4 linked regions of the Caenorhabditis elegans genome follow. The protein of the gene in region 3 interacts with the protein of the main gene of each other region in a pairwise test. Each region holds a gene or a part of one and is shown on either strand. Other genes may lie near its edges.

Evidence for each region.
Region 1: the proteins of zoo-1 (region 3) and snn-1 interact in a two-hybrid assay, tested with the Caenorhabditis elegans proteins (one large-scale study listed by BioGRID).
Region 2: the proteins of zoo-1 (region 3) and zig-12 interact in a two-hybrid assay, tested with the Caenorhabditis elegans proteins (one large-scale study listed by BioGRID).
Region 4: the proteins of zoo-1 (region 3) and M195.2 interact in a two-hybrid assay, tested with the Caenorhabditis elegans proteins (one large-scale study listed by BioGRID).

Annotation. Positions count from the first base shown.
Region 1 is NC_003282.8:1,812,093-1,816,944, reverse strand, and holds the start of snn-1 (ATP-grasp domain-containing protein), read left to right. Parts: upstream 1-1,845; 5' UTR 1,846-1,848; coding exon 1,849-1,976; intron 1,977-3,006; coding exon 3,007-3,078; intron 3,079-4,852.
Region 2 is NC_003284.9:8,762,194-8,766,824, reverse strand, and holds zig-12 (Ig-like domain-containing protein), read right to left. Parts: upstream 2,919-4,631; 5' UTR 2,917-2,918; coding exon 2,851-2,916; intron 2,805-2,850; coding exon 2,670-2,804; intron 1,889-2,669; coding exon 1,798-1,888; intron 1,751-1,797; coding exon 1,638-1,750; intron 1,493-1,637; exon of another isoform or gene 1,347-1,492; intron 964-1,346; coding exon 775-963; 3' UTR 545-774; downstream 1-544.
Region 3 is NC_003279.8:14,527,928-14,532,529, reverse strand, and holds the start of zoo-1 (Tight junction protein ZO-1), read right to left. Parts: upstream 3,002-4,602; 5' UTR 2,999-3,001; coding exon 2,903-2,998; intron 1,599-2,902; exon of another isoform or gene 1,550-1,598; intron 554-1,549; coding exon 500-553; intron 1-499.
Region 4 is NC_003280.10:8,359,156-8,363,765, forward strand, and holds M195.2 (Activated in Blocked Unfolded protein response), read left to right. Parts: upstream 1-1,597; 5' UTR 1,598-1,633; coding exon 1,634-1,681; intron 1,682-1,935; coding exon 1,936-2,060; intron 2,061-2,108; coding exon 2,109-2,258; intron 2,259-2,333; exon of another isoform or gene 2,334-2,345; coding exon 2,346-2,442; intron 2,443-2,486; coding exon 2,487-2,627; intron 2,628-2,719; coding exon 2,720-2,935; intron 2,936-2,978; coding exon 2,979-3,113; intron 3,114-3,433; coding exon 3,434-3,621; intron 3,622-3,664; coding exon 3,665-3,932; 3' UTR 3,933-4,071; downstream 4,072-4,610. Other genes in the region: col-77 (Nematode cuticle collagen N-terminal domain-containing protein), read right to left, coding at 1-58, 111-190; amt-3 (Putative ammonium transporter 3), read right to left, coding at 4,261-4,459.

The sequences.
Region 1 (4,852 bases), on a different chromosome or scaffold from region 3:
GACATTAGAACAAGTACATTGTACAATAATAGATCAGTTTCTGAAAATATCGAAACTCCGAGTTTTTTAGCGTCGATGCACCATGCTCCAACACGAGCTTTCCCCCCCCCCCCCCCCCCCCTCCCCCAAACCAGCAAAAAGGAAAACAAGAAAAACCACTAGAAGCCATGTAAGTCAGCTATCAATCATTGTGTCCCCGTCCCTCCGTTGACACTTGATTCTCGAATTTTCACTGAGCTTCTCTAGACTTTTGCATTTTTAACATGAACCAATATGTAGATCCTATGCTAAAGTTTTTGTACCCAGAAATTTCTGACATTTTTTCAAATAAAATTTCACATTTTTCGGCGCAAAAATATAAAAAATTTTTGAAATTTAAAAAGTTCAAATTTTCGAGCTTTCTCTACATTTTCCAGAGGCTCGAAAAATTGTCTGCGCTCTCATCTACTAGTATTTTTTGGGTAATTCAGTTTTCACCCAAATGTAAATTTCACCCACTCTCCTTACGCCCGGCTCCATTTGATTTTGTTTCATGTTTCTCTCCGTCTCCATGTGCATTTTGGATGCGGCTTCTCCCCTTTTTTCGACGCAGAAAAGGGGGTATAACATTTCGACTTTACGGGATTATACGCTTTTTCGTCTCGCCTTCTTTCTTGTTTCACTTCAATGAATACAAGATTACCCACACATCTCTTGAAATTAAGAAATGTTTCGTTTTAAATTCTCCAAATAGCTTTAAATTTTGAGGAAAGTTCCTAGCTCTCAGATGTGCTCAGCGATCTTAAACCTAGTAATGTATATACTTTTCTGATTTTAAAATTTGAAAACCATGACTGAAAAGGCCCGAATAGTTTCTTTCGTGAGTTAGTCTTTTTTTTTCTTCCTTTTTTTTCCTATTTTTTCTTCAAATTTGATTAGACATCTTCCAGTGTCAAGCCATAATTAAAAAGTGACGTTTCTTTTTTTTTTTTTGAAAGTCTCTTCTTCTTTGAAAAAATTTTGAAATTTCTTCTTTTAAGCTCGAAATGCTCCAAATAAGTATTCACATTTTTCTTTAAAAAAAACTGTAGCAATGAGAGATTTCAAATAGTCCAAGTCCTGAATTTTTCGGTCTCGAGCTCGCGGAGCCCAGTGTCTTTCAGCTCTAAAAAGCACAAATTTGAATTTTTGAGGAAAATGAACACAAGTATCAGAATCAGCGTGTTTAGTGTTTTCAGATAATATTCATATTGTCCAGGTTCTGAAATTTCTGGGTTTTGGCTCGCGGAGCACCGGCAAGAGCCCGTTTCCAGAAAATCGACACTTTTTGGTGCTCCGCGAGCCCATTCCTCAAAAATTCAAAGTCTAGCCATGTTTATTCTTTTCTAAACCGCAAAATCTAGGGGAATTCAAAAATTCTAATCACACAGCCTAAAAGCTTAAACTAAAAATGTTAGGCCACCAACCTTGCCTCTAAACAATCTCAAAATTTCATCAAAAAGTTTGTGGGGCCCCTTAGGGGGACTGACGTTCTCGCTTTTCAAATTGATGCCCCTATTCCTCGCCACTTTCCTCCATCTTTTTTCTCTTTATCTCTAAGTTTCTCTCTGTGCTCTCTCTCTCTCTCTCTATTCACTTCCTTAGCTTCAACCCCTCCAGACACTTTCCCCTTTTCTCCTTCACCCACAAAATGTACATTTCATGGTTTTTTTTTTTGGTTTTTGAGTTGTTTCTAGTTATTTTTAACTCTAATTATGGGTTGAAAAGGTCTCTGGGGAAATTTTAAGAAAATTTGTGGCTTCTCTCTGACATTTTGCTCTTTTTCCCCCTTTTTTTGCTCACGAAAATCCAATTTTCCAGTTTCAGAAAATGAATTTCTTCAAGCGAAAATTCTCGTTTTCCGAGGATGAGGGTGAGCCAATGGATGACGTGAACTCGGGACCGCCGAGCTCTTTTTCATTTCAGTCGATTGCTAATAAGGTGTCTAATACGATAAGGTACGAAATTTTAAAATAAAATAAAAAATCTCAAATATTTGTGTGCTCCGTGAGCTCGGCCGGCTGGGAAGACTCCAGTTTAGAAAACTTTGAAAGTTTGAATTTGACACCCACATAGCTTGGTTTTTAAAAATTTTGAGTTTGGAGCTCCCGGAGCTCACAGAGCAGCCGATCCTCCAAATCTCTAAAATTCCAAACCTAGGCCGCCTTGAGCTTTTTAATCTGAAAATTCAAATGAAATTTTCAAAAACCTTTTTTTAATATATTTTTCCCAGTTTCCAGTCAATTTTGTCTGACAAAAATTTAAAAAAAGAGCTCAATATGCTTCATTTTCCAGATTTTTCAAATTCCAGTTCAGAATTGTTGTACAGCCTGCCAATAGCATCAATTTGACACCCATATTGCTTGGTTTAAAAAAATTTGATTCTGGAGCTCCCGGGCTCACAGAGCCGCTCATGCTTCAAATCTCTAAAGCTCCAAGCCTAGGCTTGTTTATACTTTTCTGAACAGGCTCGAACTTTTTTGTTTGAAAAATTGATTCTAAAAGATTCTTATCAGTTCAGATAATGCTCGCGGAGCACAGGAATGCTCCAAATCTCTTAATTCTAAACCTGGGCTTGTTTATACTTATCTGAACCACCTGATCTTTTCAAATTCCAAAATTTCACCAGATCATTTAAAAAGCTCAAATTAAAAGTTTTATTTCAAAAAATACACAAATTCTCAAGAAAATTTGTCATCCACTTCAAAAAAAAAAAAGAAAGAACCAAAAAACCCGCTAGCGAAAACATTCATTAAAATTGTAGTGTGCGGCTCTTTTGAGACTGCCAAAGATAAAAAAAAAATAAAATATAGTGTAAAATGAGAGAATCGTGGGAAATTTTCCTCAGAGAATTTCCTTCATTTTTCCCGAGAAAATGCAAATCTGGGTATCTCCATGGAAACCCGCACATTTTTTTTCTATATTCTGTTCTGCTGCCAAGATAACATGTGTTTAAATCACTTTGTCAGATATGTTCACTTATTTCAGTGCTCCAACGTCACCTGCCAAGTCTCGGGAATCACTTGCCGCTGCACTGGAGAGGTCACTCAATCATGATAGGTTTGTTAGCTGGAATTTTGCTTTAAAATTGTTCGAAACAAAAAATTAATAAAAAATTTGAGTTTGGCTCAAGAGAGAGCTTTCATTTGAGTATAATCATGACATGTTTTGATCAAATTTCAAAACTTAGCGATCCTGCCGCGAAAACCTGGGAATTTTCGTGATGGGACCCAATATTTTATGACAAATTTATAAGAATTGAACAATTTACAAACGCACATCAAAGATTTTTGCTTTAAAAAACCAATTTTTATTTATTTATTTATTTACCAGCCGTGGACCGCACCTTCGGCGCGGCCCCCGACTTCTGGGGCTGAAAATTAATTTTTTATGAAACTACCGTAACCCTACAGTATTCCTACCGTACCACTATTGTACCACTACAGTACCCCGACTATATCCCTACACTAACCCCCAACTCACTATCCCTCCAGAAGCTAAAACTTCGCAGACTACAAAGACTACATAGACTACAAACTATGGACAAACGGAATAAGCGCTTTATATATAGTAAATGATTTTGATTCAATTATTTGTATTAAAACATTGTAGGGGTCGAAACATGCGACATTGCTTGGGATTTCCTCAAGAGCTCATATTTTTTCGAAATTTTGGCAATTTGCCAAAACTTTGTCCGGAAATTTTGAAAAATCTAAAATTTTTTAGAGTTTTTTGATGTGATACTCGGTTGTCTTAAATCATTATAAGTGTATTAAAAAAAAAAAACAAAAAAAAATCCACTGACGCTACTCCATCTTTGAAAATTGGTCAGTTTTATTGATAATATATCATAAAAAATTTCACACCCGTAAAATTGCTCGAAATACAGCTTTTTGCAGACATTCGATTATTTTAAATATGTACAAGGCTAGGTAAATACTCTGGTAACATTTTGGAAGTTTTAATTTTTTTTGAAAAAATTATTTTACCATGCGAAAGGCTTACTCAGGTTTAGGCCTAGGCTTTGGTTTAGGCTTAGGCTTAGGCTTAGTCTTAAGCTTAGGCTTTCGCGTAGGGTTAGGCTTAGTCTTAAGCTTACTCTTAGGCTTAGGTTTAGACCTAGGCTAAAACTTATGCCTTGGCTTGGCGTCAGTGACGCTATTTAGGGTTAGGATTACAGCAGCACTGACGCTATTTAGGGTTAGGATTACAGCAGCACTGACGCTATTTAGGGTTAGGATTACAGCGTTTTTTTCATTTTTCAAAGGGTTCCCGTTGGCCGATCAAAGCGAAATTTAACACAGAGACGTATAGGCCACTAAGAAGCTTTCGTGTAAAATTTCAAATTGATTCCATCAAAACTCGCCGAGTTATGAAGCTTAAGGTGTTTTCAAAATGACCCTCAACTATTTTTTTAAATTTGAAAGTTTGGCGTTTTGTCAGTTTTCTGTCTAAGCTCACGAAAATTTAATGACAGGAGGACGGCAGTGAAATAAGTTTTCTTGTGAATTTTGAGCCAATTTCGATTTACAGGAGCCGAGATATTAAGCTTCAAAATCCAAAAAAAAATGACCCTCGCTCCGCCCCTTTTTGTCGACAAAAAGATTTCACTTTGAAAACGCGCGTGTAACTTGACGGTGGGTGGATGGATTTTGATGCGGTTTTTTGCTGTCTTTTCAAAAAGCTTGCCCTACCTCTGTATTCTTTTTTTCAGAAAGATTGGAGCTCATTGAGCCGAGATATTTTGAGTCAAACTCAAAAATCGCTATTTTCCGTCATTTTCGGGTGGTTTTAATTGAAGGAAAATTCGAATACTTGAGATTATTTCACGATT
Region 2 (4,631 bases), on a different chromosome or scaffold from region 3:
TGGTTAATATGTAGTTCAAATATAATAACAACATCAGTTCTTCACAAAAATTGTCGGAAAAAGATTTTCAATCCAAGAAACCTGATTTTTGAACAAAGCCTCTAAACAGTGTCTAATGAGACACTAGTTTCAGCGCACACATTTTTTTAAATGGAGGTTTTAGGACAAAGTTGATATGTTCAAACAATGAAAAATTAAATAAACATTTTGTTACTTTCTCAAACCTTTCATTAAAAATATGTTTCTTGAGTTACAGTCGTTTTAGTAATCATCGTCAAAAACGGACTCACGAGATGCCCGCCGCTTTATTACTTGCCATGTGATGGATGAATAATTGCAACATGTAAAAATACATAGGCCTGATCACGAGCTACATTTTACCAGTTGAAAATTTTTTGGTACCTTTCCTAGTTTTGAAGTTATGCCCATTGGAAAAAATATCGAAATCGTCAAAAAACTGAAAGTGGATATCTTTTTGGCCAGCACTGTATATATATATATTGATTTCTGTACTTGCAAGTATATCTTCTCATGTTCAATGTGTCAAGAAACTTTTTTATTTTGGCTGATACCAATTCATGTGCATGGGACACAAAGTTCAAATTACTTTGAGAAGACAAATACTACAAAACGTTAAAAGTTACAGAAGAAAAAAAAGCGGAAAGTGCAACTACCAAAATCGAAAATCAGAAGCAACGATTAACATGAAAATTGATTTGAGGCTTTATGAATTGAATTGTATGACAATTAAAAACCAAGGGAAAATTTATAAAATTAATCGAAAACCAAGTTCAACGCTTGTTGGTTTTGTCCTTCGGAGTTCTTGACAACGCACTTGTATTTTGCTTCATCGTCTTTTTGTGGTCCGGTGATTTCGAGTAGGAATTGGAATCCGTCTTTGTCCTTATCGTCCTTCTTTACAACAGCCTTAACTCGGTCAGTGAATTTCACTGGTTTTTCATCCTGGAAGAATGAATTAGTGAAAAATATGAAATTTACTTTTTTTCTGTTAATTTAAAAATGATTTATACTAGACGGTCGTTCAGAAAATTTTTTCCAAAACAAGTTTGTTAATTTTATTTATCAAAGCATTCCAAAAAAACTCAAACTTGGTTCCAAGCATGCCCATTGAAATGTTCATTTTTCATTTTTCATTTTACATTTTGAACCAGACAACAAGTGAATTCTTTTAATGTTTATTGAACCTTTTTGCTTTTAGTTTTTTGCGCCATTTCTCTTTTTTGTTCACTACTCAAAACTTCGCTCTATCTGCTCCATGAGCCTCAAGTATCTGTCTCGGCACAACCCAAAGGCGCGGACGAGGAGGCCTCCCAACTTTTGTCTTATTTCCACACTTCTTTACATTACCCATCTCTGCCTTTCTATTTTGAATCCCCTTGAGAAAGCCGGAGAGGTTCACTTCGACTAACATAAATGTGGAAATTAGGACAACTACATTTTTTTCTTCGGTGGAAGAAAGAAGACAAAAGAAAAAAGACACGTCAGTCAGTCGATCCATCTTCGAGAAGCTCTATTCTGGTTCAACCAAAATGAATTTAGCAATGCCAAGAAAAATACCGAATAAGAATTCAGGGAAATTTTTTCCCCTAAGATTCAAAGTAAGGTGACAGACATACCTTGAACCATTCGGCCTTCATCTCAAGGTGGGACTTTGCGCGGACCTTAATCACAATCACATTTCCGTTATCTCTTTGAACAATATGTGGCTTGTCATGGAAGTCTGGGGCGTCTGAAATTGTATGTGTAAGCTTTTAGTGTTTTTGATAATGAGCTCACTTCCTGCTGCGACTGTGAAGTTAGAGCTGTTCTCTCCATCGGCGTTGGCAAAGACGGCTTTGTATTCTCCGGCAAGTGGTTTATCAAAGTCCTATAAAATGATGATTTAAAGAAGCAAAAAGGTGTTTTGTTAACAGTTAAAATTCATAATTCCGATTATTTTTTATCACAGGTAAAGCGGGATTGCTCAGAAGCGGCCCAATGGCAGCTGATAAAATCGTTTTTGTGTTCGGAGTTTTTTTTTAAGCTTAGAAAAACGAAATTTGCGACCGGGGCGGTCGACAATCGGCTTATTGGCTGACATGGAGACAGACCACCGGCGGACATCAGTTTTTTTTTTCAGTCTGCGGCATTTTGGACCGTTGGACAGTTTTTCAGTTGCTTTTCCGTTTTACCAGTAATGTAGCTTATGTGGTTTGTTTTTCAACTACTACTATCATTAGTAACTTTTACAATTATAGTTCCTAATGTGAAGTTCAAACTGCACGGCTTTTTTTAATGTTTACTGAATTTTCAAAATTACAGTTCACGTTATTGATGTATATTTAATGTGAGATACGAAAAAAATAAAGAATATAGTAAAGTAAAAAGTATTTTGTAATGATGAATGTACTTAGAGTTTCCTTTTGATCAAATGCTTAACCGTTGTTATGTTTTGCTTTTCACCTCCCGACCGACAGCTAATTCTGCTTTTGCCGCACTTTTGCCCAAAATCTACGGTAAGTCCATCAAAAACCAATTAAACGCAGATCAAAACACATACAGACAACAGTTGCAGAGCGCATCGCAGCAATGGGACCATAAAATGACTCGTGAGTCGTTTTATGTGATTTATACGAGATGCTTTGGCAAACAGTTGCTCTCAAACTGACCTTGATTTCGGCAACAAACTTGGTGCGGTTGCCTCCTTCGTCACTGTTTGAGAACTTCAGGAACTCGTTCTCCTCAAGCTCGTCTGGTCCGAAAAACCACTGAATCTTAGAAACATCAGCTCCAGTGACGATGACCTGGAAGAAAACTTAGCAATTTTCAAAAGGAAAAGCAAATTCGTACCTCAAGGAACACCGACCCGTTCTCTGATCTAATTTTTGGTTCTCCGTAAATTGATGGTGGTGCCATATCTGAAAAAATTAAAATCTGTAGTTTTATGATTGAATACGAAGCCATGAATATACGGAATCTCGGTAACCTAAAGTTTTACACACTAAAAGAAAAGAGGGGCGTGTTTTCTGATCAGGTAAGAGCGCCGCCAAGAGCGAATGAAAAATGATCTGCCAATGTGTTTTTACCATCATTTATCCATTGAGTTCACAGGAAAATAGGAGACGAAAGACTTCTTGAACGGTAGTTCGTAGTGGCTTTTGGGTGGGAGAACTAAGCAAACAATGTTTTATGTTCTCAATGAACAAGCACAAGTAGGGGAATGTTGGAGAAGATCTAGACAAGATGTGTCAACAGTATTTTGAGGGAAAACACTTTATAATGCTGAGAAAAAAAAGAAAAAGGCAAAAAGACCAATGGTTGAAGGTTGAAAAATGCTTCGAAAATTGAATCACTGGTTTTTTGTACATATAACAGTTGATTTTAGTCATGTTTTTTGTGCATTGAGATCAGCACTCAAGAATAAATTTAAAAAAAACAAATTTGAGAGGAGAACAAAAAATATGAAGAGGAGAAAAATGATGTCTCGCTTGTAGTTTCCAACTGACAAAAGTGCCAAGAGGTCGCTGTTAGAGTCCCATTTTCCCTTTATCTTTTTCTCTGTTTCACGAAGGTGTTGTAATTTCTACTTCTTCTGCTGCTAAGCTCTTTCTCCGCCTCCTGGTCGCTAGTCGGAGAACGAAACGACGAAAAAAGATGGGAAAGATGAATGTCCCGGGAGCCCCCCGGAGCTGCCCACAGATTTTGCGGAGGAGGAGAAAGGTGGATGGGATGGCACTTCCCACCTAACTCTTCATTTCTCGTCGACGTTGAAGATCCCAAAATTTTTACAAAGTTCTCAATGAAGAGCTGCAGGGCGAAGGCAAAGTTGACGAGACACGCTTCACAAAGGATATTTGAGAGTATTTTGAAATCGGAATCAATGAGCAATTTGGGAACGGATGGAAATGACGTCGCTGGTTGTTGTATGAGTATTAAGGATTTCAAAAGTTGTTAAATGAAAATGCCACTTTGAAACTGAGCAACTCGAAAGCAATGGATTTATAGACCTGTCACAATAGGACGATCATGATGTGCACATTTTTGCAAATCGCGGCGTGCGCATTGTGCATGGTTTCATTGATGATATCTGCATTGTACGTTCATAATGTCAATTCTTCGCGGTTCTTTATGACCACATTGCAATTCAACTATGTAGGTTTAGCATTGGGTCAAAGAACAATTTAGTTGATTGGCCTCATCTTACAATAAGCTGCATAATTTCCTATTTAGAAAGAAACCAGAGAATAAGCTACCAGACTTGGCCGAATAGAGCAATGTGGAAAACGATATAGGACACTTAAATGCCCCAGTCGCGTTAAAAATTAAAATATATTGCCTTTCTAGGTCTCAAAATGAGATGAATCCCAAAAATGGTAAAAACATAAGCTGACAATTTTTCAGTTAAAAACAAATTATTTTATAATAAACTTATATGAACCAAACTGTTTTCATTCTTACTTTTTTCTATCCAACACCTTGTAAGTTTTCCATATTGTAATTCAGCAGTGGAACTCCACATTCAATCTGAAAATCATGTATCAAAAGATCAAATATTATGTTTCAGAGAGTTCAAAGAGTAAGAGTGATATTGTATAAAGATGCCGAGAGTGTGTGTAATTTGAAACTTCGGT
Region 3 (4,602 bases):
CGCAGGCTTCTAAACTGGATTCGCATGGTTAAGAGTGTGCTGAGGACAGCTTGGCACCCTAGTTTAGGAAATTATAATAAATTTTTAATTAAGCTCAGAATTTAGTAGATAATTTTTATGAAAATCCGAAATTTAACCGAGTTAGGGGAGTTTTTTTTAGAAACTCAACACATAATTCAAGTAAGGTATAAATAACAAAATTTTCGACTCACTATCAGAAAATAGTTCTTCTATGTACATATATTTGTAACTGTGCTAAATAGATAGGTTGACAGGTAATTGACATTCGACCTGTATCAAGTAACGAGTTTACCTGGAAATTTCTATACAGATTGCCTAAACGGAATGTATACCCCTATACCTATACACAATTGTCCCTTGCATACATGGACGATAAATCATTTATACCCGAGTAGGAGAAAAAAAATGGGAAACGGGTTTTGTTTATGGTCAGGGAGGAATTAGACAATGTTTAAAATATAAACAAAAAGAAACATACTCTGTGTAAGGAGACGGAGAGAAGTTGCCACGTGCATCCACTCGGGTTGTACATCTGGAATATAGGTGATTAGGTGATTTTTAGGTTTTAGAAAAAGATTTTTGAAATGAATATCGTAGGTACAGAGACGTTAGTATACTGGTCTGAAAGAGCAAGAAATTTCCTATTTTTTGGCTAGGACACTTTCTTGCTACTTAATTATAAACAATCAAAAATAGGTGATTTTTAGGTTTTAGAAAAACTGCACAGAAATTGCCGTAATTTTAGATTTAAAACAGTTAGTTTTGTTAATTATGTTGCAACTAAACCAAAGTATAGAAAAAGCATTTGCTAATTGTAAGCTTAACTTTTTAAACTGGTCAAAAGTTTTGGACCGCAGCTACTACATAGAAACCGTACCATTATTATCAATTTCCTAAAAAATCCAATTTTTTATATTAAGAAAACGACTACTTATTTTATAACGGTGAAACTAAAACCACAAACAGTATTTGCCTATACATACAAATTTTTAAATTGTTATTCCTGAAACTTATAAAATAATATGAAAATTCACTATAAGATGCAGAAAAACATTTTTGGCAACTGTTGTTCATGAATGTAAATTACCGCTAAACTTTGCCGAATCAAAAATGGTGAAAGACTAATTTTTCATAACTTCTTGGAAAATAATAAATCAACTATATAGATATAGCATTTGTTAGATACCAATTTAAAAAGTTTCTCTTTTTTGATCTACCCCAAATTATGAGTAATTTAAAACCATATATGTAATGCTATCAATTTTTCCTATAGGTGATAAATTACAGTACCCATACAGCCTAAGAATTCTAAAATCTATTGTAATTTTTCTCATAACTAGGCTACCAGTAGACATCAAAAGTCAAATAAGCGACACACGAGTTGAATAGAAACAAAAAGAGTCTTCTCTCTCTCTCTCTCTTCTAAGAAGGGCATGATATCAATGTCTGGTTAAAACTGGGAAAAGGGGGTCCCTCGGGAAGTTGTGTGGAAGAAGAAAGAAGAAGAAGAAGAGGCTCTTTTTCTTTTTCATACACACACATTTCTCATTTACACTATGTTGAAAAACGAGAAAAAAGTGGATGGGAGGAGAATGAGAAAAGTGTCTCTTTTATTTTTGACCTGACTCTCATATTATTAGACGTTTTGTTTCAGGGGTAGTAAACGCGTTTTGAATGGTTTTCTATCTTTTGGCATTAATTTTTCGCGGTTTTCAAAGAAAGTGTGAGCATGTTCAGTTTTTGCTAGTGGAACAAGCATCGCGACAAAAATGGACAAAATCGTTCAACTATGTAAAAACCTTAATTTAAAGTTGCTTTTAACCCTATACGTTATACCGTTAAAACATACATCTTAAAGGTGGAGTAGTGCCAGTGGGGAAGTTGTTAAAAACCAAAAGTCCCAAAATGATCTAATATCATAATAAAACTTTTCAAAAAATTTTTGAAAATTTTTTATTTATTGTCAAAAAGTGGTGACAATTACTGAGTTTTTGCCACTCATAATTTTGGAAGTCGACCAAAAAAAAATTGTTTTTCTACATTTTTAATTCTGTAATCTTGTTTTAATTATTCGTATTAAAACATTGTAGGGGTCGAAACATGCGGCATACCTTTGGACTTTTTTTCAAAAGCTCTGATTTTTCAAAGTTTTGGCAATATGCCAAAACTTAGGCCGGAAATTATGAAAAATCTAAAATTGTGTTATATTATGATATTTGGTCGTTTTGGATCATAATAAGTGTACTTAGACAATATCCCCACCTTTAAAACGTTATACCTTATTACGAAAAATATACTATGTATAGCCTTAACTTAACGTTACGTTTTAACTTTTTTTAAAAATATTACACGATACTTTATAACCTTTATTTTAAAAACTAACGTTATAATTCGTTACACATGTAAAAACGTTGTTTTAATATGATCGTTCAATTAAAATTTTAACGTTTTTTTAATATATGATACTATAACCTTAACCTTTTAATCTTGTTGATAACGTATAATTTATAACATTTGAAATCAGGCTAAATCTATATTATAGTGTGTAATAAAACGTTGTAACGTATAACAAAGGACATAGCGTTACAGTTAGTTATAGCTTTGATTTTGAAAACGTATCGAAATATTGTAGTGTGAAAGCTCAAATAAATTCTTAAAATTGTACGTGATGACGGTATAACAGCTACCTTATTTAAATACATTTATGACGTCACAACAGTATTAAAATACATGCTTACAGCGGTAACGTTCATTTTCTAAACTTTTTAATTTTCCGACACTACTTGAAAAACATCATTATATTGCTATATCCAACAAAAAAATTGTTAGAATTTGGTATAAAGCTTTAATTTTTTTTTTAGAAACAAACAAAAATACTAACCTCTTCCTCATCCTGATCGACAGGCTCATGTTCCTCCTCAATACAAGAAGACGTACTTGACATGGAGGTCTTGTACCATGATGGGTCCTCTGACATTCTGGAATATAAAAGTTGTTATATACAAAAAGAAAATAATCAAAAATCACAGGGTAAATAGAGGCTAATCGTATATACAAATAGAAGCGGAAAAAGCAATGAAGTTCAGTTTGTTTCTTATGCTTTTTGAAGACTGCGGTTTTTTTTTTAAATTTTGTTATAAAAATTAATATTTTAACTCAAAGAACAATTGAAAACGTTTTAAAGTTCAATTTCAACAGAAATAATAAGAATAACCAGAAAATTCTAATTTATAAGGACAAGTTTTCAATTTTTTAAAGTAACATCGAAAAAAACTGTATAGAAGTAGTAATTAGTATGAAAATTGAAACTTCTTATTGAGAAAAAGTTATAATAGGTCAACTTTTAAATTTAATAATAGTAAAAAAGCCCCGTTTAAAGCGGTTACATTATGAACAAATTAAATTTTAACAAACTCAAATAAAACAAGTTCTATTTAAGTAGTTATCACAGTACTTAAACAATTATAAATTCCAAAGAAATATTGATTTTATAGGAAAATCCTGAACTTTTCCCATACAAAACCCTGCAAAATCCAATAAACAACCTTGAAAAGTTGTTAGTTTAAACGGGGAAAATGTCGTCAAATGGTGTGTTATTCCATTCAATACATACGCATATATCGGGTACGCAGACATTGAATTTGACGACATATTGGTAGGCAGAAGGGTAGGAGAATGGGGAAAAGGGGTCATGTAAAGGAAATTGAATTTGGGATGCGTGGAATTTGGAGTAATTTTGGGGTTTTCTGGGGGGATGGGGAATTGAATTTTTGAATAGTATCGGAGTAATTAGAGATATGAGAGAAGAAAAATAGTAATTGTTTGGAAAATGTGTGTAGTCTTAAATTCAAATTCCATGCAATTGAGTTAGTCAAAAAAAGGAAGTGTATGAATGTTATCATACGTTATAATACATATATGTACATAAATTATATATACCGTACATTCCCTATTAGTATGGCCCCCCGTCAATCGACTTTGTCGGCTCATATTTCAACGGTTTAAAAATATTTTTGATACCTTCAAAAACCAAAGCATAACGATAGATTTGAAAAAAATTGTGTCGTTTGAATTTTGAATTTTTGAAATATGATCAAAGACAACCGAGATATAAACGTACTAAAAAGGGAATATATGGTAAAATTCCATGGTGTGTTATAGAATTCGGTATATATATAATTATATAGGTATATAGATATATAGAATTAAGTACCTATGTATATCGGTTCTAGTTAGCTATTTCTAATTAATAATTATTACAGTCTTGAACGAAAGTTTCAAAACTGTGAGGTATTAGACTTTGTCACTTTTATGCTTTTGTCAAACCAAAGTCAGATGGTTCAATAACCTATTTTCCCAAGACAGTGTATCATATAAGCTTGAAATACAGTCTAAAACATCGATTTCAGAACAAAAAATGGACAAGTCTTGTTTGGTGATTGGCACAAAACACTTCAGCTCAAAAACTCATAAACTGGAAAAAAGTTGATTAGTTTTTTTTTGCAGAATGTAATTTTTGAGCTTGCCGTTGTAGTTTAGAGGCTTATACACATTATTGGGGGATACGAAGCTAACCATTCA
Region 4 (4,610 bases), on a different chromosome or scaffold from region 3:
CTGCATGTAGTTGTACAACGAGGGAATAGCGACGATGGCAGTCAAAGTAGCCACGGTACTAAAATGAAATTTTTAATTTAAAATTAAATTGAAAAATCAAAGAAAAATACCTGATGCAGATACCGAAAAAGGCAATCTTGCGAAGGCCTTCAGCTTCTTGCATCAACTTCTTCTCGTCTTGTTGGTACATGCTTGTGTTGTTCGAATCTAATGAGGAAACGATGCCATTTGCCATTCAAGGCGGCGCTTATATACCCAACTTTAAACTGTCTAACGAGCCGCTTCTTCGCAACAGGTCACTACTGAAAAAACGGCATCGGCGCCGTGCCTTATGCAGTTCAGCGTAACAAAAACACGGTCTGCGTCGACGGGCTTGCATTCGGCGTCTCGTACCTTTTCAGTATCTCTTCCCGCGTTTTGGTTTTTTGTGAGCGCAAGGTTGCCGATACGCGTTGATTTTCGATGAACCTGTGAAACAACGATGGTATCTCTGTGGATGGAGATAGAAATCTTTTTTTGACGCCTTGAAGATGTTTAAGCTGCGAAAAGAATATTTCAAAGCGATGGCAAATTGCATGATTCTCGATACATTACAACCTAGTAAAACATGATTTAAGACTTAAGTTTTTGTCTGTGTGAATGGGTGAAAGCTTTAGATCGGTATCGTTTTATTTGTTATCTGTAGTAATCTGTTAAATCTGTAAGTTGATCAAACACCGAGGTTAGTACTTTCATTGTGTTTGTGGGAAAGCCCAGCCAAAGTAAACAGAAACTAGTTCAAATTTAAACTACCGCCTACGATATGTGTCATTGTCGAAATGAGTAATGAGTAAATTTGAATAAATGTGCAATTTTGAAATTTTGTGATTTCATCGAAACTGTTACATCATATCGTAAATATTTTGCTCTTTCGTGTATATCCAACTCGTCTTTTTTGGCTCTCGTGCCTACTACATACTCAAGTTCCTTCATGCCTTCCTGTTTCAATAAGAACATGTACAACCAGGTAGCGATTTGTTGTGCCTACGTGACTTTTTTGTGCTGCTCAAAATTTAACAAACAACAGTTTATTTTTACGACTCTAAGTATTACTCTTTTGGATTTATTTTCAGAAGTTATTTCATATTGCTCAAGCCTAGTAGAACTGAGACTAAACTTGATCTTCGCAGATTTTTAGTCTAATAGTTATAGAAAATTTTCTGCCAATTTACCTAGAAAAACAAAATCATGTTTTTTGCCAACAATGTCCGGGAACTATGTTTCTATTTGTGTGCGCATGTGCTCAGTGGCTTCTTTACGCGCTATCCGTGCCGTCCACAAAAACCTATCCTAATCATCTCATCAATTTCCGTTTTTTTTTCTTTCGTTTTTCGCACCTCATGCTCATTCATTATCGGGCGAGAAAGAGATATTTTGTGGCCGGCGATTAAATGCGATTATCACTCCCCAGAGACCGCAAAAGTCGAGTAGTTTTCCCGTTAGGAGCACCAGACTCCCTCCCGGGGGCCGGCTGGCCACCGCCTCTTCTTTTTTGAGCAAACAATAGGAAGGAGGCCATGCTCCCACCCCTGGAGACCCTCCTGGACATTCAGTACGTAGTCCAACTAACGAGGTATCTGCCAACGACATCAGCATGAAAAATACTGTTTTGATATTCTTAGTTCTATTTTTTATTCACACGGTATTTAACTTTTTTCTTAGAAAACTGAAAACTGATTTTTTTTTTTGATATTGTACTTAAATGTTCTAGCAATCTTACTTTTAGTAGCACAATAAAAGTATATGTTAGTGTTTTAGAACTATTTTGATTTTTAACTGAAAATTATTAATCATAGTAAGAACAAGGTGAAAAACCAAAAATTAGATGAAAATTGTAAACTTGCACCATAGCCAATCACTTTTCAATAAATATTTAAGTCTAAGTTCAAATTCTAGACTGATGCGAAATCCCCAACACGAAGCAAACGCCAATGCGGATGTTCATCGAAACCTCAAATGGCTTGTAAATGTTCAACTTCTACAAACATCTCAAATCGTGTATGTTCATGCTCCCCACTCCCGTAAGTATCAATTACTCGTCTTCCTGCCTAACGTCCGTCCAGTTCCAGTTCAACATCTTCTTGTGGATGTCAAGCTTCTTCTTCGTGTGCCAATTCCTGTCGTTCCACGTGTCGACCGACTTGCTCGTCTTCCGGAGGATTCGGATGTCGTATGAATTGCCAGAATACGTGTGTAAATGCATGTAACAAACAATTCGCGTAAGAAATCTTATCTGCATCTTTTGGCATGAACACCCTTGAAACGCCTTTAAGATTCTCTAATGTCTAAAATTGTAATATTTTCAGGCCGACTTCATCCTCTTCAATTGTTCAAATTAAAAACCAACCATCTGTAATTCGAGCAGTCGCTGGAAAATCATGTCTTTCGGGTTGTAATTCACAGGTTTTATTTTGAATATGAAAATCATGCATATTAAAAGTATTTAGTGCTCAAACGTTTGTCAACAAAAACAGTACAGTTCGTCGCAATGTGCAAGCTCTTGTAATCGATCGTGCTCTCGAGTTTGTCAATCAAACCCTTCAGCAAGCTCTTCACAATCACAAACAACAACACAGACACCATTGAAGGTATAGTTTTAATTTTTTTGTTTTTTTTAATCAGTAATATATTTCAAAAGTTAATATTTAAATCTGATATTGCAAAGCTAACTATTTTCCAGGTGAGTATCAAAGTACTGGATGATGGAGCAAAATGCATGTCTACTTGCTCGGACACTTGCCGTTCTTCTTGCTCAAATAGAGTTTCCCAATCCACGTGCGATGCTACGTGCCAAAACACTTGCTCTTCGATGTGTCCATCTCAATCACCACAAGGATCACCACAATTACCAACTCAAACCACCACTACTAACGCACCGATTAAAATAAAAATCCAGGTTTTCCATTCATTTTTTCTATCAAAACAAATTATCTAATCAGGTTCAACAACAACAACCACAGCAATCTCCTCAAAACAGTCCTCAACAACAGGCGCAGCCACAAGCATCACAACCAATTGCACAAACTACTCAGACAATTCCTGCCTCAATTCCTCAAGCAGCGCCTCAGCAACAGGTGTGTTGGTTGAAAAAAAAAACTGCCAAGTGACTTTTTTTGCATATTAGTCATCGAGGTCATAAAAAAAACTACATTAAGAATGTTCGGAAAGTTCTTTTCCCGTATCTAAAACCAGAAGTGCCCATTTTGTATTGCAGGAGGACCGAAATCTGGGATATATTTCTTAATAAATCCGAATTTTTCACTGATTCCGAATATGTATTTTAAAAAGTCAAAAACATTTCACTGATTTCGTTACTCCACCTTTAATCCTAAAATTGTTTCAGTTTTTCTTTAAACGTTTGTAACATTATTATTAATTATTGAAGTAATTTCAGCCAAATTGCATGGCCCAGTGTCAAACTGGATGTGCAAATTCGTGTGCTCAACTTTCACCACAACCAACCGAAGGCTGCCCAACAAATTGTAGAAATACATGCAATGAAGTTTGTGCACCAACTGTGGCTTCACAACCAAGTACACAAGCCCCACAGTCATACCCAGTACTACTTGATCCCCAGCAAAGGTGAGTGAATATTATGTGAATACTTCAAAGTTAAACTCTTCAGATGTTCTTCGGAGTGTCAATCAGTTTGTCAGCTAGCCTGTGTAACTCAGAAATCAGCTCCTCCATCTAGTTGCCTTGACAAATGTTCTCCACAATGTGACTCTGCCTGTACAAGTCCTCAAGTGCAACGGAACTCTGCACAACTTTTCACACCTTCCGCCGATCAAGCACCTGCTTCATCTGCTCAACCAATAAAAATTAATATTTCGCTTGCTCCGTTGAAACCATCGGCTTCAACGTCATCTTCACCATCTCCTACCTCTCTTTAAAAAATTAAATTATTTATTTATTTAAATGTTCATCAATATTTATTGCCATGCTTGTTCCCGTTGTCTTTCAAATTTTCGACTAAAAACCAAATTAAAATATTTTATTTTCGAAAATATAATCCAATAAATACAAATATTACTGCGCTTAAGTACAATTGAAGCTTTTCAACTGAAAGGTTTTGAATAGATACTATTCAAAAAATTTTGTGAACGAGAAAAAGAAAACCCGAAATTGAAGCCAGAAACGTTACAAATTTAAAAATAATAAAACTAACAAGGAAACACCCGGTGTTGATTGGAGATTTTAATAGCAAAAAATGCAAATTTTTCAAACAGGTGGATTATTATCCGGCGGTGATAAGGCTCTTGGAGCTGGTGCTTTAACAAATTTGCCAACCGTCGAATTTTTGCTAGATTTCTTTGAAATGATAGATGTTGCAGAAGCTGTTGATGGTCGCGAGTCTGGTGCAGCTGTACTAATTGCAGAGACTGTGTGTATAGATGGAGAAGATCGAATGGATATTGATCTGAAAATTTATTTCCATTTAATTGAGTTTTAATTTTTGTCTTGCAATTTTTGATATTCTATTATATTACAAGGTTTAAAAATCCTGGTTACATTTTCAGGACTGTGGATCTTTGGTATTTGCAATGTTTTTAGATCTACGTAGTTTGTAA